Caenorhabditis elegans: one gene and its partners. The protein of the gene in region 3 interacts with the protein of the main gene of each other region in a pairwise test. Each region holds a gene or a part of one and is shown on either strand. Other genes may lie near its edges.

The links.
Region 1: the proteins of rad-54.L (region 3) and gmap-1 interact in a two-hybrid assay, tested with the Caenorhabditis elegans proteins (one large-scale study listed by BioGRID).
Region 2: the proteins of rad-54.L (region 3) and npp-11 interact in a two-hybrid assay, tested with the Caenorhabditis elegans proteins (one large-scale study listed by BioGRID).

Annotation. Positions count from the first base shown.
Region 1 is NC_003284.9:12,931,705-12,938,483, forward strand, and holds gmap-1 (GM2 Activator Protein family member), read right to left. Parts: upstream 3,275-6,779; 5' UTR 3,192-3,274; coding exon 3,080-3,191; intron 1,937-3,079; coding exon 1,815-1,936; intron 1,766-1,814; coding exon 1,638-1,765; intron 1,241-1,637; coding exon 1,147-1,240; intron 1,097-1,146; coding exon 806-1,096; 3' UTR 501-805; downstream 1-500. Other genes in the region: C34E7.3 (uncharacterized protein), read left to right, coding at 1-177, 226-321.
Region 2 is NC_003279.8:3,814,775-3,821,996, reverse strand, and holds npp-11 (Nsp1_C domain-containing protein), read right to left. Parts: upstream 3,924-7,222; 5' UTR 3,919-3,923; coding exon 3,807-3,918; intron 3,760-3,806; coding exon 3,667-3,759; intron 3,596-3,666; coding exon 2,116-3,595; intron 2,066-2,115; coding exon 1,595-2,065; intron 990-1,594; coding exon 802-989; intron 747-801; coding exon 673-746; 3' UTR 501-672; downstream 1-500. Other genes in the region: E3 ubiquitin-protein ligase ubr-1, read left to right, coding at 5,201-5,354, 5,409-5,659, 5,866-6,168, 6,226-6,517, 6,577-7,218.
Region 3 is NC_003279.8:9,061,757-9,072,325, reverse strand, and holds rad-54.L (DNA repair and recombination protein RAD54-like), read right to left. Parts: upstream 7,248-10,569; 5' UTR 7,240-7,247; coding exon 7,136-7,239; intron 6,722-7,135; coding exon 6,643-6,721; intron 6,570-6,642; coding exon 6,326-6,569; intron 6,283-6,325; coding exon 6,143-6,282; intron 6,044-6,142; coding exon 5,698-6,043; intron 5,625-5,697; coding exon 5,500-5,624; intron 5,455-5,499; coding exon 5,336-5,454; intron 5,292-5,335; coding exon 5,214-5,291; intron 5,167-5,213; coding exon 5,040-5,166; intron 4,992-5,039; coding exon 4,884-4,991; intron 4,839-4,883; coding exon 4,730-4,838; intron 4,419-4,729; coding exon 4,252-4,418; intron 3,862-4,251; coding exon 3,520-3,861; intron 3,093-3,519; coding exon 2,995-3,092; intron 2,874-2,994; coding exon 2,762-2,873; intron 2,719-2,761; coding exon 2,644-2,718; intron 2,353-2,643; coding exon 2,269-2,352; 3' UTR 2,062-2,268; downstream 1-2,061. Other genes in the region: rsbp-1 (Abi_C domain-containing protein), read left to right, coding at 565-648; snx-3 (Sorting nexin-3), read left to right, coding at 7,928-8,023, 8,066-8,131, 8,178-8,398, 8,487-8,592; prmt-7 (Protein arginine N-methyltransferase 7), read left to right, coding at 9,179-9,267, 9,359-9,483, 9,536-9,919, 9,971-10,260, 10,307-10,434, 10,485-10,569.

The sequences.
Region 1 (6,779 bases), on a different chromosome or scaffold from region 3:
GCATGGAGAAGAGGATCTAAAATGAGCGATGACGTGGAGAAGCAAAGAAAGAAGAGCATGAAAGAAAAGGAAAAAGAGGCAAATGGTGGATCTAGGATGAAGATCAGAAAAGATAGTAATAGTTCGAAGAAAGAGGATATGGAACATGGAGATTGGTGGATTGTGAGAGTTGCAAAGGTAAAACTATTTCACTGTTCTGAACAAATTCAGTATTATTATATTCAGATGGGCTTTGAAAGCTGCTTCCAACGACGTCGGATCACGCCGAGTCCTCCGCCAACCAATGAAACTGACTTGAAGTCTCCGGTGAATGCTAATTAATTTTTTTTCGCCAGTTGACATTTCCATTGATCTCATTGTCGTTCACAGTTGTGCAATTCAGTCTGCCCAGTTCACATCTACCAATATTGAAGCCTGTACATTCCTCCACCCACCGGTTCTTTTTTTATGACATTGTTTTTTTTCAACTTTTTTGTAATGTGTTTTTTTTTGAAGTTGTACATCAAAATCTCGATTATTCAATTCAATTTGTAGAATACATATTTATGATTATGTATAATAAAAGAAAAAAAGAAAGAATTCATACAGATGCATGCATTTGATCGAGATTTCGGGGAGAAAAAAATAAGTGAAGTTAAAAAGAGTTTAAAAGAATTTAAAAAAAAGAATGAATGCTGTAAATTTTGTTGGTTTTACCCGGTCGTCCACTGAAATACAGACACACACCGACTCAACCAGAATCGATGGAATTGGTGAAATGAAAGAAAAAAGAAAAAATGACAAAAAAGCTGATGAAATCGTGAAATTAGTTTGGCTGGGACACCGTCGCGTAGATCCAGTGGCATCCGATCATTCCTTCCTTCGAGTCGTGAAGAATAGTGTTCAATGTCTTGGCATCCAAATTATTGATTGGTCTATCGAAAAGACGGGCGGCAATGACAAGTGGGATCTCACCGGAACGAGCACGGGAGCTGACAAAGAGATCCCAGAGCTGCTCGGCACGAGAGGCGTTTTGATCGAGGAATGGGAGAAGTTCGTTTTTGGTTGGAAGGCACACGCGGAGGGACAAGTCGCTGTATGATCCTGCCGAGAGTCCCTGCAATATATGTTTTTTTCGTGATATGTTCTAATCAAATTGTATATTACCGTGGTAGAGCATTGAGCTGGCTTATCGGCTTGGAAGATTTGAACAAAGTTCTTGAGAGATCCTCCCATAGTGTGACAGATGTCGCAGTGAACACTGAAATCAAAAGGTTTTGATGAGACATTTCTATTTAACTTTTTTGAATATAAAAATAATTTTGTATTGCCAACACACTTCATCTCATCATTACATATGATATTTTATTTTTTGAATAAAGCTTGTAAGTTGAACAAGCCGACCAGGGATTCATAATTCAAAAGTTCGAAGTTGATGTTGAAAAACGTCCGATATCTTCCGAGGTTAGCCATAAGAGTCTTTATTACATAATGTTTTATGCTGAATACAACCTTCTGAACTTTCAGTTAACCTTGTTCAGATTGATTTCAGTGTGTATTTTTAGATTACTACCCCCAAAAATTAGTTTTAAAACTTTGAAGCGCAATCTTCACTCTGACTGGTTTTTGTGGTACACGTTCCGACTTTATTCCCTCACCATGATCCGATTCCTCCACACCCATTAGCATCAGCATTTACGCATCGTTCTGGCTTTCCGTGGATTCCGATTCTTGTCTCAAGATGCACATAGTATTTCTTGGAGCCATTTAGTCCTGGGGCATAAACCTAAATTGATGAAATGTTTATTCTGGTTTGCAACGAGCTGATCACTAACCTCAACTTTGCCACCGGACATTCTGAAGCATTTGTGTCCATTCTCTCCAATTTCTTCGTGGAATTGAACTCCGGCGGTTTTGTATGATGGGAACTTGATGAGCAAAGAATCTTTCTTTGGACCTGAAAAATTGAAAATTGAATTCAATAATTAAAAAATAATAATGTTTAGGAGAGCCTTCATAATTTATTGAATTTTTTTTAAAGAGATACATACAGTCTTTTGAATTTTCCGAAATTGTACTAGTTACGTGACCTTTCGCATTTGTGTGATTTATTATCAACTTATAAAATCGAACACAGTGCTAGATTTGTCAGTTTTTTTGCAAAATCCCCATCCTTTTCCGACCTGGGATTTGGCGAAGCGTTCCACAAAACAGGAAATAATGGAAATAGAGATAAAATAAAATCGGGACGTCAGTTTTTCTTTCTGATAGCCTACCCCCTCTACTCTGTTATCGATATCATTGACGATACAACAGTATGGCGTCTCCAAGGCCACGCACTTCCTAGCCGTCGGCTGCAGTTCGATCAATTTTTTTTTCTATATCCCTAATCAAACAACTGATTGGGTCGCCGGGTAGAGCAATGTCTCGAGAAGCTTTGGATAGGTGGACAATTGAATTAAAAACACGTTTTTTTTGTTCGCAGAAAAAATGACGTGAGTAGACAGTCAATGGACTATTGAACTAATTTCAAGTGTCTAATTTTATTGGTCAATTGGGAAAAAAACTGGATTTTATGAAAAATTGAAGTGTTCACCTTTGTTGATTATGTTGTATTGAAACAGGGAACTAAAACATAGAGTTTGAATGGCTAAACAAAAAGTATACAAGTTGATTTCGACGTGAAAATTTTTGACCCTCAAAATAGTTAAACTTGTAGCTTGAAATCAAACTTTATCCCAAACAACATATCAGATTTCCGTTGATGCATTTTCACTATTTGTTTTTGTTTGTTTAAACCGTACGCTTAATAGCTAATGGTATAATATTAATTGCTAATGGCATAAATGAACACGGTTTTTTGGGGCGCTTGTGATTTGCAAAGCCTACAGTAATAAAAATGATCCTATTTAATAAATACCAATGAATGTTTTCTATTTAGTATTTCAAAGTTCAGATATTCAAACATTCAAAAATTCGGGGACACTAAAAAGTGTTTCGTATCATAATTTTGGAGTTGGATTTTAAACTTGATAGTGGTTCCTTGACCATTTCACTATAAATTAAGCAACATCAAAAAATAAAAAAAACTGAAACAAACCTGAACTAGCTGAGCATGGGAAGTGTCTTTCGATGCGGACAGAGATCTCCGAGGAGGCGGCTGAGACGCACGCGGCAACGGCACACAACAGTACGATTCTTCGGGTCGTCATTAACGCAAGTCGTGTTTCTCGACACACTGGCCACTGGAGGAGAAGACGTCGAAGTCGTCGACGTGATAGGATAGAATACAGTGGGCGGAGTGAGTTTTGTTTCGCGAAAGGCGGCTGCCCATACACCTACCTAGGCACGCGACCCCCACCTCTCAGAGAAAACGAAACAAGAGTAAGGTGAGGAGAGTAAGACGACGGCGACCCCCTGAAATAGAAAAAAGAGTGATCTGACACCATTGTCACTTATGTCGTCACAACAGAGATAGTTGACCTTTTGAAACTTGGGGTTTCTTGAACTTTAGTGAAAAATGTAGGAAGTGTCATTTTGAATGGAGTTAATCTTTTGGCATTTTCTAAGAAACTGCTTGTATAGTGAAGTGTATAGAAGTGCTCTTGTTCGACAATTAATGTATTATCCAGTCGTTTTTCTCTTATTCCCTTTACTGTGCATATGAAACTAAAAGTGTCTCAATTTTCTGATTGTATCCAATTTGATATACGATAGACATAAAAGAAAACTATAGTGTTCTTGTGTTACCACTTAACACAACCGTCCAATTTATCGTTTTTGTGAGTTCCTACCCGAATTCGAAATGTATTTCAAACATAAATAAAAAATATTAAAGTGATACTTGTAATGTTGAAATGCCTACTCTTCTTTCTTAAAAGCAGTACATTGGATTATTGCTTTATTAGTCTCAAAATTGTCTGAAAACACCGAATTTCATAATGAAACTTGTTAAAAACTTCTCAAAAAAAAACCTAATGACGGCTCAAAAAATGACCTAAAATTGTTAAAATTTGAAATTTGATCTACTAGTCAATGTCGCAGCGGGTGGAAACAATTTTTCTTTTTCTATATATTGACTGTTTAGCAAGTTTGGTGTTTTATGTTTTGTGTTGCTTTGATCGACTACGAAAATTGAGAAAACCAAGAAATGAACCAGAAACCTCAAAAACAACTGCTGGCCCTCTTTTTATCAGTGACATCATCTCTACGCTCATCTATCAATATGAGTAATTATGATCATTATGTTTATATCTTGATGTAGCCGTTAGATAATTGAGTCTTTAGCTAAGTCTATCGCATCAATTAATAATGACGTTGACTTTGAAAATATAGGTTTGGGTTAGTTTACGTTTGTATTTGGGTTTACACTATTTGTGATTTATGGGTCAAATTTTGAAGTCGCTCAAAGAAGTAGGTAGATCATAAGCTTTACACTGTTATGGTTTTTTTGTGTAAAGCTGTACAAGTAAATGAGGCAGAAGCCAAACGAGGGAACAGAACAATGAGAGGAGAAGTTCGAGAAAGCTGGTATCAATTCGCCTCCTTTTTTTGGCGATTCTTTGTATTGCAACGATCTACGTCATTCTACTCCACTCATCGCTTTTTTCCTTTTTTTCGGCGTCTCGCATTTTCTTCAAAAGCATCAAATTGAAGATGGCTAACCACACGAGAACAAAGAAAATGGCCACAACAGAAAGGAATGCCGTACTTTCAATACTACTGTTTCATTGTGAATACTGAATGCGAAATTTGAAATTGCTTTTTCTCAACTGCTATTTCAGGTTTTCAGAACATCTGACCTACCATTAAAACATTAATACTATTCAACTCTTGTTCAATTCAAGTGAAGTAAAAAGTGAAAATATCAAAACTGGTTGTTTTTTCAAAGTCTGAAGTACTTGAAAATTAAATATCTAGAGGGTAGATAAGTACAGAAAAAATAGTAGAATATTGACTGAATCAAAATTCTTGGCCACCAATTGCTCATAATTTCAGCTTGATTTTTTTTTAAAATTTGTGTCCAATATTAGTGGCAGAAAACTGAAAAAAAACCTTGGATTTGCTTTTTAAAACTTAGTGGCACAAATCACAATAGATCGAACGTCGCTGTGTTTTATCTTGAAAGGTGTATTTCAGATGATGAAAAAGTAATTTTGACATTTTTGAAAGAGCGAATATTCATATTTCAAGTTCGGACGGATTTACTGTATTTAAAAAATACGTCATCAAACTTTCGATTTGCCGAAAAGTTTAGTCAGAGATTTGGTATTATGACTGTTTGAGCATTTGCAATCATGATTTTTTTTTGCCAATTTTAGTATAATTTTAATATTTTCAAACATTATTCCCCTGCCAGGAAACTCTTCCTTTAACGAGTAATTTCATGCTGGGAAACAGGTAAACATATAAATAATGTTCTTTTTGAAGTCTTGCTGCTTATTAGAAAAATATAAAATATTTCTACCTGCAGTCGATTGTAATCTAACAACATCCATAATTGTTTCTTTTGGGAAACCGATTAAGATCCACAGGGTGGCCGATTGTCAGCGGTCTTGTTCTCTTTATGGCAAATGAGTGGTAATTGAAAAAGATTAATAAGAAGAATAATGGGTTTACCAAAAATAATATAAAAATGAAACTCTCAATAACAGTAAACTGAATCATTGGTATCAAAGGGCAGGTCTTATAATCATACATTTTGAAGATTGATTACCATGAGTTCAAGCACTTTACAAAGTTAGTATTGCAATTAGTACTGAAATATATTTGTTTCAAACTCCCAGTATTTTAATAAATGTCTTCAAAAAATTGAATTTTGTTAATAAAAATAGTGATCTCTCGGAAATTAGTTTTGCAGACTTCAGTCATTCTTTTTGTTTGCGCCGAACAGCTAGCCGCCCTTTTGCTCACTCTTAAGGAAGCTCCAATGCTCTTGATAAGTGCATAAGCAAACGCAACATGTCCATCAAAAGCTAGCTTATTGTCAACTCGGAGAAACTTCTTGAAGATCGCTGGGTTCCATGGTGTAGCGGTTAGCACTCAGGACTTTGAATCCTGCGACCCGAGTTCAAATCTCGGTGGAACCTATCTTTTTTGAATATATTTATGGTTTGTTCTGGAGGTTTTTTTAGTTGTACAAACTCTGTTGCAAGTGCTACTGTAGTTATCAATTAATCGGGTAGAAACAATTGTAGCAACAGAATACACTAATTAAGTTTCACACAGAAAAAAGATGTTTACCAAAGATAAAGTTTTTGAAACCCGAAAAAAGGTATATGGAAACTACATTAACACAGAATTGTTATCCATAAAACTTTGCTATCAGAATTGACATTTAGAAATGTTGATCGCTGCGATAGACACTCTTTAGCACATTGTAGCCGCTCATGTGCTCACTGCTAACTGAGCGACTGGGCCTTCCCGATAAGTGCATTAGCAAACTCAGCATGTCTATTAACCGAATGTTCTTTCGGAGCAAGTTCTCGAAGCTCACCGGGTTCCATGGTGTAGCGGTTAGCACTCAGGACTTTGAATCCTGCGACCCGAGTTCAAATCTCGGTGGAACCTATCTTTTTTGGATAAATTTTGATCTTTTCTTGTCCATTGTGTCATTTCTATAGTGAGCGGCACTATGGTTATCAATGAGTTGTAACAAAATCATACATTTTTAGGCTCCATGGAACATTTATATTAACAGTCGGTTTTTAAGTATAGCTCGCAAGATAAAATGTGTAACCCATAATATAATAAAACAGGTTCTTGCTCTGAAAATATTTGACTAATTTAAAAATGTAATA
Region 2 (7,222 bases), 5.2 Mb from region 3:
TCGATCTCGCAGCTACCGTACTTTCAAAAATCACAAAATACTAACATTTGACTAGGAGCTCCTAGGGATGCAAGATAAATTGATGAAATCAAAAAAGAGAAACATCACTGTAAACGTTTTCAAAATCACAAGGAAAAGCAATTAGAAATTTCTAGAGCATCAAAAACTATGATAAGGATCTTTTGATAACAATAGTGACCCCCGCAAATGGGGGAAATTCAACGAAATTCGTTGAAATTTAAAGAGCAAGAGGTAAATACTTGGGTATAACTTGGGCCACATATTAAAATGTTAATTTTTTTAGTTAAATAAAATTTTCCAAGCCAAAAAAAAAAAAAAAATGAAGAAATAAAACAATTAATTATATTTAAAATTTAATTTTAAAATGTAGAGTTAAAATACACAAGTAAATATTTTCCAAACAAGAAAATATAAAATATATCAGTGTAATTTTAAAAAACACTTGAAAAAAAAAACCAAAATATAATCAATATTTTTTAAAAACAAGTTCATTCACAAACTCAACCAAACACACAACAAAACAGACAATAACAAAAAAAATAAATAGTGTGATGGTGGTGATCATGAAGAAAACAGGTGAAAGTGTATAGGTTTAAAGAATTAGAGTTTCAATTTAAAGAAAAAATGAATATATAAATAAAAAGTAAGAATCTAGGCCTTCGACGAGTTGTTCGTTTTCAGATTGTGGTCATCCTTCAGCTTGTTCAGCTTATCACGAGTAGCATCTGTAAAATAAAAATTGACATTTAATAATTTGATTAAAAACTCTAAAATTAGTACCGTGTTGAGTGGAGAGATCCATCAGCTTCTGCAGCTGCTTCTTCATAATAAGCTCAGTTTTCTCCAGCGGGGTCTCGGTTTTCGTCTTCAAAACTGTCGATTGCATTGTGTTAAGTGACTTGGTGATTTGATCGAGATCGAAGTCCGCACATTTCATTTGGGAATCCACGTTGAGCATCATTTGAGCGCTGGAATTTTTTTTTGAAATTATTATTTTGATTTTTAAGGGGAGTAAGGTCCAGGGCTGTCGCTTTTTGCTTTTTTTCTTTCGTCTTCAAGACTGTCGATTGCATTGTGTTAAGTATTTTCGGAACAAAAAACAAAAAAAATGCTTTCAAAAAGTTTTAGTTATTATGATTTTAAAAAAAACCTGTGGATTTTTTTGCTTAAATATTCAAAAACTCTCAACAAGAAAAAAATCTGATAGTTTTATGGCAGGATTTTGCGAAATTTTGTCAACTTTTTCTTTGTCGCAGCGGCTGAAATATAGTTTTTATCGAATTATCCCGATTTATTGCATATTTTGATTATTTATCTGGCGTTAATTCGTTAATTTAGTCATATTTTAAGTCGATAGCTATTCAAAAATTACGAAAATTGGATGCAAATCGAGCCAAATCAACGGAACAGCGTGAGATAATCAACCAAAGCATGCCAAATAGGGCAATATATGAAAAAAAATCAATTTCCATCGGCTTTTACAAAGAAAAAGTTGGGAAAACTGAAGTTTTTAGCTAAATTTAATATATTTCTTAAAAATTTAATCCATTAAAAATCAATAACTTTGACGTACATTTGCACTCTCTGAACATCATGTCTCGACGCAAATCTGCTATCAAGTGGGAATTTGTAATCAAGAGTATGCCATTCTGGAAGGCTCAGCTTGTTCTCTAGCTCAACAACATTTTGCTCAATATCGTTCAAGACAGAAGTCATGGAGGCGACGTTGAAATGCAGTTTCTTGCAGCTTCCACTCAAATCATCCATCTCATTGTACAATCCTAAAACTTTTGGCTCGAGTGTAATGAGCTCACGGTCATAAGCATTAAGCTCGAGCATTTTATTATGGAATACTCGTTCCTGCTTCGCAATTTCCGAATGATAACTATTGACAACTTCTTGAAGGGCGGTGAAGAAGGCTTTTGTATCATTTCCACCGAGTCCTGCTTTGATTTCTTCTTCAGAAAGTGTGTCGCTTCCACTTGCACCAATTTTCAGGCCTGCAGATGTAGTTGCAGCTCCTTTAAGTCCTGATGTTGTCCATCTGAAATTAAGAGTTTTTTTTATATTTTTAAAAAGTAAACCAAAATGTACCCAGTTCCCTTAGCCAATGGTGTTGAAGTGAGCCCTAGGCCAAGTCCAAGAGTTGGAGTAGCTTCTGCTGGCTTTGGAAGAGTGGAAGTAGTGCTGGTTGTGGTTGGAAGAGATGGAGTTGCTGACACTGTAGATGGAGTTTGTCCCAATGTAGCGGCAGTAGCAGGTGTTGTTGTAGTTGCTGCTCCAAACAATCCACCGGTCGGACCTACAGTTGCTGGTGCAGTTGTAGTCGCAGCCCCGAACAGGCCACCAGTCGGAGCTGCTGCGGCGGGAGCAGTTGTGGTTGCTGCTCCGAATAATCCACCAGTCGGAGCTGTAGAAGCAGGCGTAGTTGTGGATGAAGCACCGAACAATCCTCCAGTAGAAGCCGCTGGAGCTGCACTAGTAGCTGTTGTGGTTGCTGGAGCTGTTCCGAACAAAGATCCAGTAGCTGGAGCTGATGTGGTGGTTGTCGATGATGCTCCAAAGAGTCCTGCTGTTGGTGCGGCTGGGGTCTTAGCAGGAGTTGACGATCCGAAGAGACCTCCGGTTGGAAGTGAAGCGGCCGGAGCAGCGGCGGTAGATCCGAATAATCCCCCAGTTGTAGATGAGGTTGGTGCTGCGGCTGCGGCGGTGGTGGCTCCGAACAATCCTCCAGTTGAAGCTGCCGCTGGGGCGGTGGCAGGGGCTGCCGCAGCGGTTGTAGAAGCACTAGAATTACCGAACAATCCAACAGATGGAGTGGATGCTGAAGCAGCACCAATGCTGAAAAGACCTCCAGTAGCAGCGGCGGGAGCAGTAGAGGCTCCGAAAAGACCACCAGTGGCTGGAGCGGACGAAGGAGCAGATGTTGGTGCTCCGAACAATCCTGATGTGGCAGTTGTAGTTGCAGCGGTGGTTGCAGGAGCGGTAGAACCAAAAAGACCTCCCGATGGAGCTGCAGGCTTTGGAGCTGCGCCGAATAGTCCACCAGATGAAGCTGTCGCAGCAGGTGCTGAATTTCCGAATAATCCAGAGGTTGGAGCAGCATTGCTAGTAGCTGGTGCAGCCCCGAACAAACCACCAGAAGGAGCTGGGGCTGTGGAAGTTGGAGCAGCTGAAGATCCGAATAAGCCGCCGGATGGAGCCGCTGTAGAGGTGGAAGTGCTTCCAAATAGTCCTCCTGGTGCTGCTGGAGCGGCCGTGGATCCGAATAATCCACTTGATGGCGCAGCAGTTGAGCTACCGAAAAGCCCGCCAGTTGGTGCAGTTGTTGCGGTACTTGTGGATGATCCGAACAAGCCGCCAGTTGGAGCAGCTGGTTTATTAGCTCCGAACATGCCAGCACCAGCTGATGGTGCGCTTGCGCCAAACGTTACTGTAGCAGGTGCTGCTGAATTTGCAGAACTTCCAAAAATGCTCGTTGAAGCGGGAGCTGGCGCCGCGGCACCAGAATTTCCAAAGATTCCAGCAGACGCTGGGGCTGGAGCTGCAGCAGAGGAGCCTCCAAACATTGAGCCTGAAAAATTTAAAATTATACTTTTTGAATACGGGAGCGTATTTTACAAGTTTATTAAACCAAAAACCTACCAGTAGCTGTGCTGTTTCCGAAAAGTCCAGTACTTCCAGTGCTCGGCTGTGCGGATCCAAAAGAAAAACCTCCGGTAGTATTCGTGTTTCCGCCTAAAAACGAAAAAAATAAATTAGTTGAATTTTTCATCGATCGATACCTGTGTTCGCTGTTGATGTGCTCGAATTACCGAAAGAAAATCCAGATGAGGCTGTTGTGGTAGCAGCGGTTCCTCCGAAAATCGACGGTTTTGGTGCAGATCCTCCAAACATTTGATCTGGAATGATATTTTTAATATTTTTAAAGGGCAGCAATATTATTTGACAAAAAGAAAACGACAGAGAGGCAGAAAATAGTCATTTGAGTGCACAAATGAGCGCGTCGAGATTCGAAAAATGATTTGGTGGTCGCGCGAAAATGATGGCCTAAAAACACCGCAGACTAGGCCGGCGGCTGGGAGGAGCACGCGACGTCGGCGTGAAGGAGAAAAATCGAAGATAATTTCATGTGCTGCAGTTAGTTTGAAAATATAAATATTTTTGGGCCCGAATGTCTTTGTGGTTTCTATTGCTATTCTAACTTCTCGATTACAACTTATAATATTGATCCATTTTTTATACTGATATTTTAAAAAAGTTATGAAATGTGAAGAAAGATCTCGATCATCGAAACGATGAGCAAGCTTCTGAATATGCAAAGTTTTCTATCACAAAGGGGTAAAAACGCGGGAGAACCTTTTTTTCCTGCTGACCAAGTACTTTTCACGAAGAAATACTTTAATTTTTGATGAAAATAAAAAAGAAAACTATATACAAACTCAAAAATCTAACAACTCTCAGCGATCCACGCAAATTAGGAAATTGAAAACAAAAAGAGAAATTTGTGTACCGTAGTCCGAACACTTAAAGGCGCATGCCTCACCTTCAGGGTCTCGCCACGATCCACTTCCCAAGGGTTTTATTTTTATTTTTTTAGATTGTTTTTTTTCGCGAAATCAGTTATTTTTTCGGTGAAAAAGTATATTTTATTGCTTTTAAAGTCAAATAACTTTTATTAAAATATAGTTTTAAATTATTTTGACGTTATATGAGTGAAACATTCAAAGTCCACGTGCTCTAAAGTCTGATTTTAAAAAAAAGTTTTTTTTTATTGCTTCGCCAGTGAATTCGCTGACACGTAAAAATAATCAATATTTTTAATAGTTCAATTTCCTCATTGTTGAATTATTTAATCCACGATGCATTGCACCGAGTCCGTGAGAGCTCTTTATCTGCGGCAACACTCTCGCATCGAAAACAGAGAGAGAGAGAAGCAAATCTATATCCTCCCGTTCTCTCTCATCTCCTTCACTTTCTCCTAGTGTCCACTGTCATCATTTTTGCCTCCCATCACTGCTTTTTGTCCTCTCGTTCGCTTATTTTGATATGGTCATCAGCAGCATAATCGGGGGGTCGGAAAATAATCAATATATTTTATTTTCTTTTACGAATCCTCTTTTTCTTAGATGAAATGCTCCTATTTTATCAAGCTACCGATTTCAGTTCGACTAATGGAATGATTGTCGATTTAATACAATCAGCTCGACAGGGTGAATGGGCCCAAGTACGCCAGCTGCTGCTCAAGCACTGGCTTGTACAGGTCCCAGAGGTGTTCGAAGTGAATTCGGATTTGCCATGGGACAATACAGCCGCGAATGAACGAATTCTAGGTGGGTTTTTTTGAAAAAAAAAACATATATATTAAAAAGCCAATTTTGCTTCAGGTTCCCAAGGAGAGATTCTCCTAGCCCCACTGGTCAGTGCATTTGTACTAGACGTTCGGAACACAAAGAGCACACTGGAAGCAATGAATGGCATTGCCGGAGTTGATCCTGCAAGACGGGGACAAATTTGTGGCCATGTATTTAAAAACGGAGAACTTACGTATACATGTCTGGATTGTGCCACTGATGGGACATGTGTCATGTGTCTTCAGTGTTTTGAAGTTTCAATTCATAAATCTCATAAATACAAAGTGAGGATGCCTCAAAATGAATCAATTTCCACAGAAAATTTCTGAAAAAAAACATTCAGATTTTAGCCGAAACTTGCCCTTTTTCTCGAAATTTTAAACCAACATAGACAAAATCTTGAAAAGTTTTTGATTATTTTGAGCGAATATGAATGATAAAACACGCATATTTAAGTAAATCCAATTTATAATTGAAAAAAAATTTCCAGATGCACTCTTCCTCCGGTTCGGGATATTGTGACTGTGGTGATGCAGATGCATGGACAGAAGGTTACGCATGTGCAAATCACGAGAAAAAGGACGATGAAGAGGCGGCAGTGTTGGCTCCAGAATTGAAAAAACGATGTGAACAGCTGGTGGAAATCATTTTACAGTTTTCCCTTTCAATGATCACTCATAAAGATGATCTCAAACTTCCCGAAATTTTCGAGAAAATGAAGCCAGAGGTTACAAATGAGGCACAGCAATATTTGACGGTTCTTTACAATGATGAAACTCACACTTATGAATCTGTTAGTAATTAATATTCCGAATTTCAATTAAATCTTCAATTTCCCCGTTTTTTCCAGGTGATCAAAGTTCTGGAATTGTACATACATTGTACAAAGGATCAGGCGATGCTTGTAGCCACAATTGTCGATCGAGAAGGTCGAAGTGCTGTGAAACTTGGCAGTAAGGCTGATTGCACCAAAGCTAAGGATGATGTTCAGAGAAAAACAGCTCGAGATCCAACGTCAATTCGAAGATCATCGAATCATAATCTACCGTTAAGTGTTAAGGTTATGGATACCACGCTTTTCGCGCTTCAGAATTTTTCGATCTCCCTTCTTACTTGGCTCAACACACAGATGGATGTTTTTCGTTAGTTTTTATTTCTTTTTATTTCTTTTCATTATTCGAAATCGTGTTTTTATTTTCAGCTCCCCTTCGCGAAATTGTTGGAGAAATTCTGCTGAGTTCAAAGTTTGCACTGAAAAAGAATTACACGCGGAAAATGAAGTCAGAGGATCAACGTCTAGTTGCCGGAATTATCAGAAATGTTATGGTTTTGCCGGATGATGAAGAGGAAGAACTATTCGCACTTGATGGAAGAATGGATGTTGATGAAATGGATGACGACGATATTGGTGGAGAAGCTCTGCAAATGGAAATTGACGCGGATGATGAAGAAGAGATAACAGCAGCGTTGGCAGGAGTTTCAGAACATCAAGAATCTCCAGGTCCTTCACGAGATTCTTCAACATTCACAATGCTAGAGAATATTCTTCTCCAGGATACACAAATGTGGAAAGCTGGAAGATCGATTTTGCATCAAATGCTCATGCGGACAGTTTTCATGATTTATGATCAGAAAGTTCGATTTGCAAAGGCTTTTATGCTACATTATAATGAAATTTACGAGGATTTCATTAAAGATGATCATGAGATGGATGTTTCAGTTGTTGGGTTATCAGTTCAATTCATGACTGTTCCTAGTCTGGCTCGGAAACTTGTCGCCGAAGATCAAGCATTCAGTGTGATATCGAAAGCGATTCGGGATCAGACTGATAAATTTGTGAAGTGTGA
Region 3 (10,569 bases):
CCTTGGGAATTTTGTAAAACAACACTCATAACCAAATATTTAACATAAACTATTTTTTTGGGCCAAGCTTGGGCAAGCCGTGACAATGAGGAAATTTTTTTAATTAATTATATGTATAGTTTTAAGATAACCGAATATTATAGAACAATAGTTCCACACATTTTTTGAATTTTTTTAGTTTCAGTAAAAAAATATGCAATTACGCACAGCCAATTTGCACCTATCATAACTTTAAAAGTCGATTTAAAAAGTTTTTTCTCTAGGTTTTCAAAAAGTATTATGCTTCAACTATTTATATTTGAAAATTTTAGAGGTTCTAACTTGATTGACTTTATTTTTAAATTTCAAAGTTTTCAAGTTTTCAAAAAGTTTGGCAATTTACCAAAACTATGAATAAATGTTTCGAAAATTCTAAATCATTTTACTTAAGATATTTCTCTTGTTAATTCATTCCGAGTATATTTTGACGAAATCCCCACTGGCACTTTCAAATACAAAATAATATATTTCACAACTCTTCGGCAAAAAGTTCAACGTTGCCCTAAATAATGTTAAATATTTCAGTTGCAAGTAACACCACGAAGAAGGAGAGCCACATCGTGTCGACCGCAGTGCGTATGTTCAAAATTGAAAACGAGTTATGCATGAAAAATGAATAATGAGCTCGAATTTCACAATTATCAAAACGGATCAACAAGCCCCGCCCACTTTTCTTTCGGTTTTCTTCACGTTTTTCTCTACGCCAATGTTTCTTTCTTATAGGTAAGTATTTGAAGTTTTGATCTGAATTCTTTAGAGAAATAAATTTAAAAAATGTTATGCAAAAAATTAAATAACGTCTGTGAACTTAAATTATTGAAAATGAGTTGTAATGAAATTTTTTTCAAAAAATTTTAAAGGAAAAATTGAGTAAAAATTACGAGTCTTCTTCCCAATGCATTGGAAAATAATATTTTTTCAGAAAATTAATTTTTGAACAATCTAGTGTACGCTAATAGCGTTTAATAATCTTTTTAAAAAATTAAATTGCTTTTGAGGTGTAGTATTGTGGGAATTTTTCTTTAAAATACCCAAACTAGTCTGAATTTCCAAAAAGTAAAAAAACAAAAACAAAAAAAAATTTACTCGATTTTCAAATTATGATTAAAAAAAAAAATATCTTGAAACTTCCTCGAAAAATAAGAACTGCAAGACCAATCAGCGAATCGCCCCGCCCACTTTTGCACTAATGAAATTAGAAGTGGGCGTGGCGTTTCCTATTGGAGGAAATTCATTCCCAATTTTTAGAGTTAGGTATTTTTCATTTGTACTGATTTTCTTCTGGATATTTTAAAAGCGAACTTTCCATTTACTCTACACCACCTTAAAAATGTAGAACTTCATAGCTACAGTAACCTTACAGTAACCCAAACATTTTACAGGTGCAGACATTGCTTGGCTTCATCTCCATCTGGTGTCTTCCATTCTTAAAGCCACAAAAAAGTGTTTTCTTCAAATTTTAAATTTAAATAGTTGTAAAATCGCCTAGTAGTTTTGTAACTTTTCCATATTTTTAAAAAAATTTCTTCTAGTCAATTACCTCAAATAGGTTAACTCAAACCTGTAAAAAGTGAACTGATTCTGACCAAAATATTCCCCCAAAAAATTGAATTTTTTGCGACATTTTGCATATTTATTGTCTAAGTCGAAGATTGTCGATTTTGATTTTTCAAATTTGAAAAAAAAATCGATCGATAATCAACATTTCCGTTTTATTTACATCATCAAAGCTCAAAAAATATAATATATTCATTTCATACCTGTTGGCGCCTGACCTTTCCCGGAAAATTTAAAGTTTTTATTATAATAATAGGCATAATTTCTTCCCTCAAATTACAAAATAATGTCTTTTTTTGCATAATTTTTTCCTCTTTCTCAACATTTTTCATGAATTTTTTTTCTGAAAATTTGTACATCGTATCAATGTATTTTTGTGCAAAAAAAAACTACCAACTACCCCTTTCGTTTCCAACCCACCCACAATTTGATCAAAGTTTGTCTTTTTTTTGTCTGAATTTGAAAAATAAATTGAAAATTCATATTGCAGGCGGTGTATTTTACATGAGATCGGGCGATAAAAATGATATTGGGATGACTTGGAACAAAAATTGAAAGAAACAAATTAAATAAATAACAAAACAATATAACATGTCCCGTTTTCATCGCATAGATAGTCTATGTTATGAAATAGGGAGACTTCTAGATTTGTTTCAACTTGGAAACATTTAACTAATCGTCGTTTTCTTCGGCTTCAGAAGGCACGTAGTCCTCATCAACTTCTTCAACTTTTTCCTGAACTTTCTTGACTTCAACCTGCAAAACGCTATTTTGAAGCATGGAAATATTAATTCAATGATTCTAAATTATATATCACAGACAATTTAAAAATTACAGAATTAGAAAAATAAACTACACAACTAGAATTCGAAAGAATTTCCAAAAAAAAAATCCAGTCGGTTTTGGAAAATTGTTTTAGTCGACTTCCAAAATTTTGAGTGACAAAAACTGAGCAATTGTCACTTTTTGATTTCCACTTTTTTTTGAAACATTTTACTATTATATTTGGTAATTTTGGCACCATAGACGTAGTTTTTTTAAACCTACGTTGTGCGATTTCTGATGAAAAACAAAGGAGATCGATCCACATTCGAAGACGGCTCGGAGCACATTATCAGCCACCTGAAAATTAAAATATTTAAAAATAAAGATAATAAATACAAACTTTTCTAGCTGATTTCTGAGAATGAAACCAATTCGATAAATCACTTGCACAGTCCGCATTGGTTGGTGGATCAACACTTTCAACTCCTTGAATACATCTTTTACATTTTAATCTGAAAGAAATTTATACAATTGTACATTATAATGCATAACATTATTATAACTATCAGAAGAAAAATTCACCAAAAATAAAATCGGTTTTATAAAAAATATTATTTTCATTCTGATACTTACTTTTCATGTGTATCCGATGCCACTGTTGATTCCAACTTGAAGAGTTCTCGAAGTTGCTCGGAACTAAAATGACGAGCTACGTCTTCACCCGCATCAACCTGAAATTTTTAAGATAACTATTAAATACCCAGATACTGATAATAATAACCACATAATAATCTGCAATTTTCACTCTAAAATTAAGTTAGTTACCGCGTCTCGACACGACCAATTTTTCAATTAAAAATGGCGAGCGCCTTTAAAGAGTACCGTGGTTCTAGGTTTTTTTTCAGAATTTTCAGCAAATTAAGATACATGTAATACAGTATTTGAAAAGGCGAAAAAGAAATAGCAAAAAATTAAAAAAAAGTTTCACGATAACGAGGAATTGAGAACTACAGTACTCCTGAAAGGCGCACACTCATTTGCATTTGAGAAAAGTCGAAGCGGGGAACCGAATTTTTTGACAAAATCGCAAAATTTAACATTTTAGTTCTAGTAGTCTTTAGAACATTTTTAGATTATATGAACAAGAGGAAATCTTACCACACACGATGACAATGCTTTTTTATGTGTCTGACGTTGAAACATTTTCTCTTCAATTGATCCAGTTGCTAAAAGTCTATAGATGAAACACATTTTCTTCTGTCCATCTCTCCAAACTCTCGCCATTGCTTGATCGTCATTCGCTGGATTCCAATCCGGATCAAACATAACTAATCGATTGGCTCCAATAAGATTTAGACCACATCCACCAGCTTTCGAAGAAAGAAGGAAACAGAAGATAGTGCTGGCTGGATCATTGAATGTATCGACAATCTTGGAACGTTGTTTGATTGACATTGAACCATCAAGGCGCACGAAATCATAGCCACGAAGTTTGCACAGCTGAAAAGTGAAGAAGTTTCAAAGTTTAAGTGACCACGTTATAAGTCGGTCTAGATTTTAAAGGTGGTGAATTTGCTTCAAAAAATCCAAAATAGTCATACATTCCAAAAAACCCACAAAAGAAAGCAAACAAATCGCGAAAAAAAAAACAAATCGACATTTTAAATTCCTTGTTTTTTTGGAAAGTGGGCTTCTCATTTTGAAGGAAATTCAAACAGAACATTTAGCCGAACATGGAAAATTGATTTTTTAAAGTTGACTTTTTTTTTCGTTTTCTCCGTTGTGAATTTTCTGAATTTGAGACTATTTATGATTTTTTGAAGCGAACTCCACATTTAAGTCGGTCTAGATTTTTATCATAAATCATTTTTTTTTTGGAAATTCGCTTACCTCCATAAATTGATCAATTGTCTGTGTGTAGTTTGATACGAGAACAAACTTGTCATCAGTTGTTTTGCGAGTGACTGCGAGAATATAATCGAGAACTTTCATTTTTCCAGAAAACGATGGATCAAATGATTTCGGGTTAAATGATTCAGGGAATATGGATAGACATTCTGAAAATTATTTTCAGAAGTTTGTGAAAAACGGTGTCGGTTTTTCGATTTTTCACTAAAATCGTAAATCGAAACCTTTTTTTTGTTTTTCCGATATTAAAAATTTTTTTGAATTTTCGAAAAATATCTTAAAATTTTGGTTTTTTCTGAAGAATATTATACGTTTTCTTTTTTTTTTCATCAGCATAAACAAAGCTTTACGAAACATTGAAATTTATAGTTAAATTTTGAACTTTTTTTTCCGATTTTAAATGCTCCGATTTTTTCTTGATTTTGAATACATTTTTATAAATCTGAAATTCTAAACTCACTGTTTCTGAACCTATTATCAGGTTTTTGAAACTCATCATAAACCAAATATGGATGATTGCAAAGCTTTTTGAGATGAGTGATAAACGAAAGAGCAGATGCGGTGGCACCCTAAAAACAATTTATTTGTATTTTTTGAATTTTCAAACAAAATACCTTGTCCTTTTCGACAATGCGGTTTTGTTTTTCACATTCGATAAGTTTATTGTAGAGTGTCTCTTGAAGTGTTGAGTTTTTACAGCAGATGATGTGCTCATATTTAACCTGAAATTAAATAATTTTATTTAGAAATCAGAAACTTTCATATCATACCGGAAGATATTTTGTTAAAAGAGCTGATGTTCTTCGAATAATGCATTTCTCTACAAGTGAAATCATTTCCTTCGTTTTCTCTTCACCTTTCTTCTGATCTTCTGAACTTGCGTCGGCGTCGCGACCTCTAGAAAAGATCACGGATTAAAAAAATTGGGAATAAAAATAACTAACTTTAGAATAGCATTCTCGAACTTCTTCCTGAACTCACTTGCAGTACCCAAAAGTCCGGGATTCACGAAATTGACCAAACTGAAGTTAATTAAAAATAATTGAATATTTTGAACAAATAGTACCTAAAATACTCTAACAAGTCATTTTGAATAGGTGTACCCGAAATCAGGACTCTTCGAGCACATTTGAGACCACTCAACGCCTGATACGTCAGATTCTCGCTGTTTTTGAGTCGATGTCCCTGAAAAGCTCGTTTTAAATAGAGTCAAAACAATACAGTATCTACCTCGTCACAAATAACGATTCCGACATCTCCAGAATGAAGAATATTCGCATAAAGACGGAATGTTTCATATGAAATAATGAGAACAGGGATGGCACAACGCATTTTTGAATCCGCCATAAATGAATCTGAAGTTGGAAAATTAACTTAATTTCAGGGGTTTATAACATTTTCTTCAAGATTTCAAGTTTATTCACTCACTGAGACAAGCAATAATCTGTTCTCGTTTTCCACTGTCCACTGGCATCGCATTCAGCCGTGTTCCCAACCACTTTTTGATTTCTTTATCCCAATTTTTCACCAAACTACTTGGACAAACGATAATACTCTTCGAAACTGTTGGACACGCATCGGGACTTTGTCGTAGAAGTGTCCAAAGTAGAGAAATGCATTGAAGTGTCTTTCCAAGACCCATTTCATCAGCCATAATACATCCATGAAATTCGGGAATATTAATACCAGTCACACAATCCCACATGAATTTAACACCATCTCTTTGATGCGGACGCAGGATTTTTCCAACAACCGGATCGGCTACCACGTGCACCTGAAAAATTTGATAAAATGGACATTCATATTTTTGCAATATTTGAGTCGTTTTTTTTATTCATGTTTTTTTTTCGATTCTCGCAGCTAAAATTCTCACCTTTCGATCCTTATCTTCCTTGAGTTGTGCGTGTTCACTAAGATGTTCAGGAGCATAAAGAATCAATGCACCTTCATGATATGGATCAAATAGAGCACATTTTCGACGGTTTCCACCAAGACCTAGGCTTCGACCAGATACTGAAAACTCGTTTAAAATAAACATTTTTACATGTTTTCTTACACATATATCCCTCCATCGGAATTGAAAACTTTCTCGACAACAACTTCGCAATCATAGCATCGTGATCTGATGATTCGGAAGCCATACGTCTAGAGAATACATCGATATTCACAAAACGTAATGGACTTGCTTCTTCTACAGATACAGGTGGTTCTATGGCAGGCAGTGCCTTCTTTCGTCGTCGAAGACCTTGTTTTGAAGGAGAAACTGACGTAGAAAAAGGGGAAATGAAGGTTTTGTGTATCTGAAAAACATTAAAAATTACAATTACAATTAAGTTCCGAATTGTATTTCATTGCAACTAAAAATATTAATACATTTTTCGGTTCCTCCGTTCGTCCTGAATATCCTAGACTTTTCCGTTTTTGTGTTGGAGCAGTAGAGCTTGTGGAAGGTCTGAAAATAATATACCGCATTTCCTCTATTAGTCTTGCATGCAAGACTAATTTTCAATAGACCCGTAGGGGTGCAAGACTAATAGGGACTGCAAGACTATTAGAGGCTACAAGACTAATTTTCGAAGATCCAATAGCTTTGTTAAATTGGCCATTTATCGTCAAAATTTTGACTTGAAACAGTCTAAATCATGCAAAATACATGCTTTTCTATTGTTTTATCAATTACTTGAACAGTTTAAAATTTAATTTAGCTAAAAAATGGCGAAAATTTTGAAGTTTTGACAAAATACTGCTGGCCTGGCAAGAATAGGGGTGCATGACTATTACCGTATTTCCTCTATTAGTCTTGCATGCAAGACTAATAGAGGGAATACGGTATGTGTTAAAATTTGAATTTTTTATAAAAGCTCACAAATTTTCCGGTGTAACTTCTCGTTTCCTTTTTGGCAGTTCAACTGGGATATTAACATCTTTTCCATGACTATCTTCTAAATTTTCGAACGTTTTTTTTGGCATTCCTGAAAACTAAGAAAATCTTTAATTTCGCAGAACAACTGAATAAACAAGTAGAATTTACAGAAATTCAACAAAATTTTTAAAATGCTCTTTTTATTCAAAAAGAACGGCGCCGCGCCATCTTGAACGAAAACAAAGTTTCGAAGAAGACGAAACACGGACACAGGGCGGTGTCAGCTATTAATTTTCAATTTAACAATTATTTTACAACATAGATTTGTTGTGAAACATTTTTTTGCTTTTGAATCAATTATAATCTTTTTAAAATTTTGAGTCATAGCGAGTCACTGCTTTTTCATTCCATGAATCTGCGGTGTCTGCTTTTGAAATTTCAGTTTGAGGTACGGTTGAATTTTTTGTGTGCATTAACACAAAAGTGTTTGCGTACTTTTGCCACTTTTTTCATTTCTTGATTCGTTTTGTTTATCGGCGCGCGATGAGTCATTTTTGCCGTAATTTCCTTGAAATTCCAGTTTTATTTATTGATTTTTCACAGCTTCATATTATTTTTTCCATTTTAGTTTGCCGAACAGCGAAACAAAAAGCAAACGATGTTCTCGCATGTTGTCGATTAAAGCTTTGGATTCCAACATAAATTTCACTTTTATTTTGTTTATATTGTGAAAATCGATACTTAAATAAACAATTCAAAGCAACTTTGATATAATTTAGAATATTTGCAGTGCAAATGGCATCCGGCGCGTCGGCAACTCAGCGGATCCCTTCAAAACGGCAAACGCTGGACGAGGCATATGCCCCGCCGGCCAACTTCCTTGAAATTGAGGTTTGAATAAAAATCAATGAATTAGATCAAGATAACTTGCAGGTTATCAATCCTATCACTCATGGTGTTGGAAAAATGCGCTACACGGATTACGAAATCAGAATGAGAGTAAGTATAGATTAACACTGACCGCATAATAAAATCGTTGTTTCAGTCGAATCTCCCCGTTTTCAAGCAGAAAGAATCAAGCGTGCGTCGCCGATACAGTGATTTCGAATGGGTTCGTGCTGAACTAGAGCGAGATAGCAAGATTGTGGTTCCAACGTTGCCAGGAAAATCATTCAAACGGCAACTGCCATTCCGATCCGATGATGGAATTTTTGAAGAGGAATTCATTGAAAATAGGCGCAAAGCTCTCGAGTTATTCATCAATAAGTACGTAAAACTGTTCAACTATACGGACATCAAAATGAACTCAGAAAATTTTCACATTTCTAAAAGTTTTAATAATATGTTCTTGCAGGGTTGCTGGACATCCACTTGCTCAAAACGAACGCTCTCTCCATATTTTCCTCCAGGAGCCAACTATTGACAAAAACTACGTGCCTGGCAAAATTCGTACCGCTTAAATTTTAAAATGTTTCTAAATTCTCCGCTCACGAGAAAAATCTCAAAATACCCAGAGTTATAGTTTTAACGCTGTCTGTTTCAATAAACAGAAGGAAACTTTTAAAAAATGATAATGTTTTCTTATCATATTTTTACATAACAAAAAATGAGTAACGCTTTCTGATCTTTTGAGATATTTAGTTTTCAAAAAGTGAGTTTTTAGAAGCTTTTTTCCAATTTAATCTCGGCCCATCAAAATATTGTTTCCATCCCTCCACCAAAATGCGGTATTTTTCGAAATTGTGTACTTTGTCCCCATCACCACTTCTTTCCCATTGATTTCCATTTTCTGGCTCCTGTTTATTTCATATTTATTTTTACATTTTTGTGTATAGTTTCCCAATTTCCCAATTGATTGCACTATTTTTATTGCATGAACCCCTTTTATTTGAACAAATATGAAAAATAAGTCTTCCGTTCCTTGATTTCGTTTCTTTGGATTTTAAAGTGGTAAATTGGCAGTTGTGTGCATATCGCAAATATCTTGAGTGTATCATTAAAACGAGCATATCTTTAAGATAGACAATTTGCAGGGTTTTCTGAAAAATGTTCCTTGAGAAGATAAATCAAAAAACCGGCGAACGAGAATGGGTTGTGGCTGAAGAGGATTATGATATGGCTCAGGAACTTGCCAGGTTTTCAACTTTAAAAAAATATTCCGCATAGAAATAAAATTTAATAAACAATACTTCTCGCATTTTCTTGCTTTAAAACGTTAATTTTCAGAAGTCGATTTGGAGATATGATTCTGGATTTTGATAGAAATGACAAGTTCCTCGCAGGATTAAAAACTACGATTGCTGAGAAAAAACATGAAAATACAGATGGGAAAGTTCATGTTTTAGATATTGGTTAGCTGTTAAGTTTTCAACTTATTCGGTTTTTAAAGTTTACTATTTACAGGTACTGGAACTGGACTTCTTTCACTAATGGCTGCTCGAGAAGGAGCTGATAAAGTGACTGCATTGGAAGTTTTCAAACCAATGGGAGATTGTGCAAGACATATAACAAGCAATAGTCCATGGTCAGATAAGATTACTGTAATTTCTGAGAGATCTACTGATGTTTCACAAATTGGTGGTTCACGTGCAGATATCATTGTAGCAGAGGTATTTGACACAGAATTAATTGGAGAAGGAGCTCTGAGAACATTCAAAGAAGCTCTTGAAAGACTTGCGAAACCAGGATGTCGAGTTGTTCCATCAACTGGAAATGTGTATATTGTTCCTGTGGAGAGCCATCTGTTAAAAATGTTCAATGATATTCCTAGGCTAAATGGAGAAAAAGGTTCAGAGAGGCTTCATTTTTTTGGATTTTATGAGAATTGAAAATTTTCAGATGAAGAACCCCTGGGAAGATGTTCTGGAACTGCGGCTGTATTCGATGTTCAACTATCTGAAATGAAAACCCACGAATTTCGAGAACTATCCGAGCCGATCGTTGCCTTCAAATTTGATTTCGAACACGAAGAGAAAATAATTTTCGATGAGTCTTTTGTTCGTGAAGCAGTTGCTCATTCATCTGGAACTATTGATGCATTACTTATGTGGTGGGATATTGATATGGATAGGAATGGTACAACATTCATTGATATGGGACCAAAATGGAAGAATAAAAATAACTATGCAGTAATCTTTATTTTTAAATTTGCACGAAAAAATCGTTGTATTGCAGTGGAGGGATCACTGGATGCAAGCTGTCTACTATCTTCCAGAAAAAAAGAAAGTAGAGATGAATCAAACATTTGAAATAGTATGCAATCATGATGAATTCAGCTTATGGTTCAGCAATGTTGGGAAAGAGTATGTATTTACTCACGAAACACAAATTTCTATCAGCTACTTTTTTTCAGTAAATCCAGAAGCTATTGTGTATGTGGATTACATTCAATGCTTAGCCGTCAAACAGTTTATCATGTCAATGAAATGTTTGAAAAT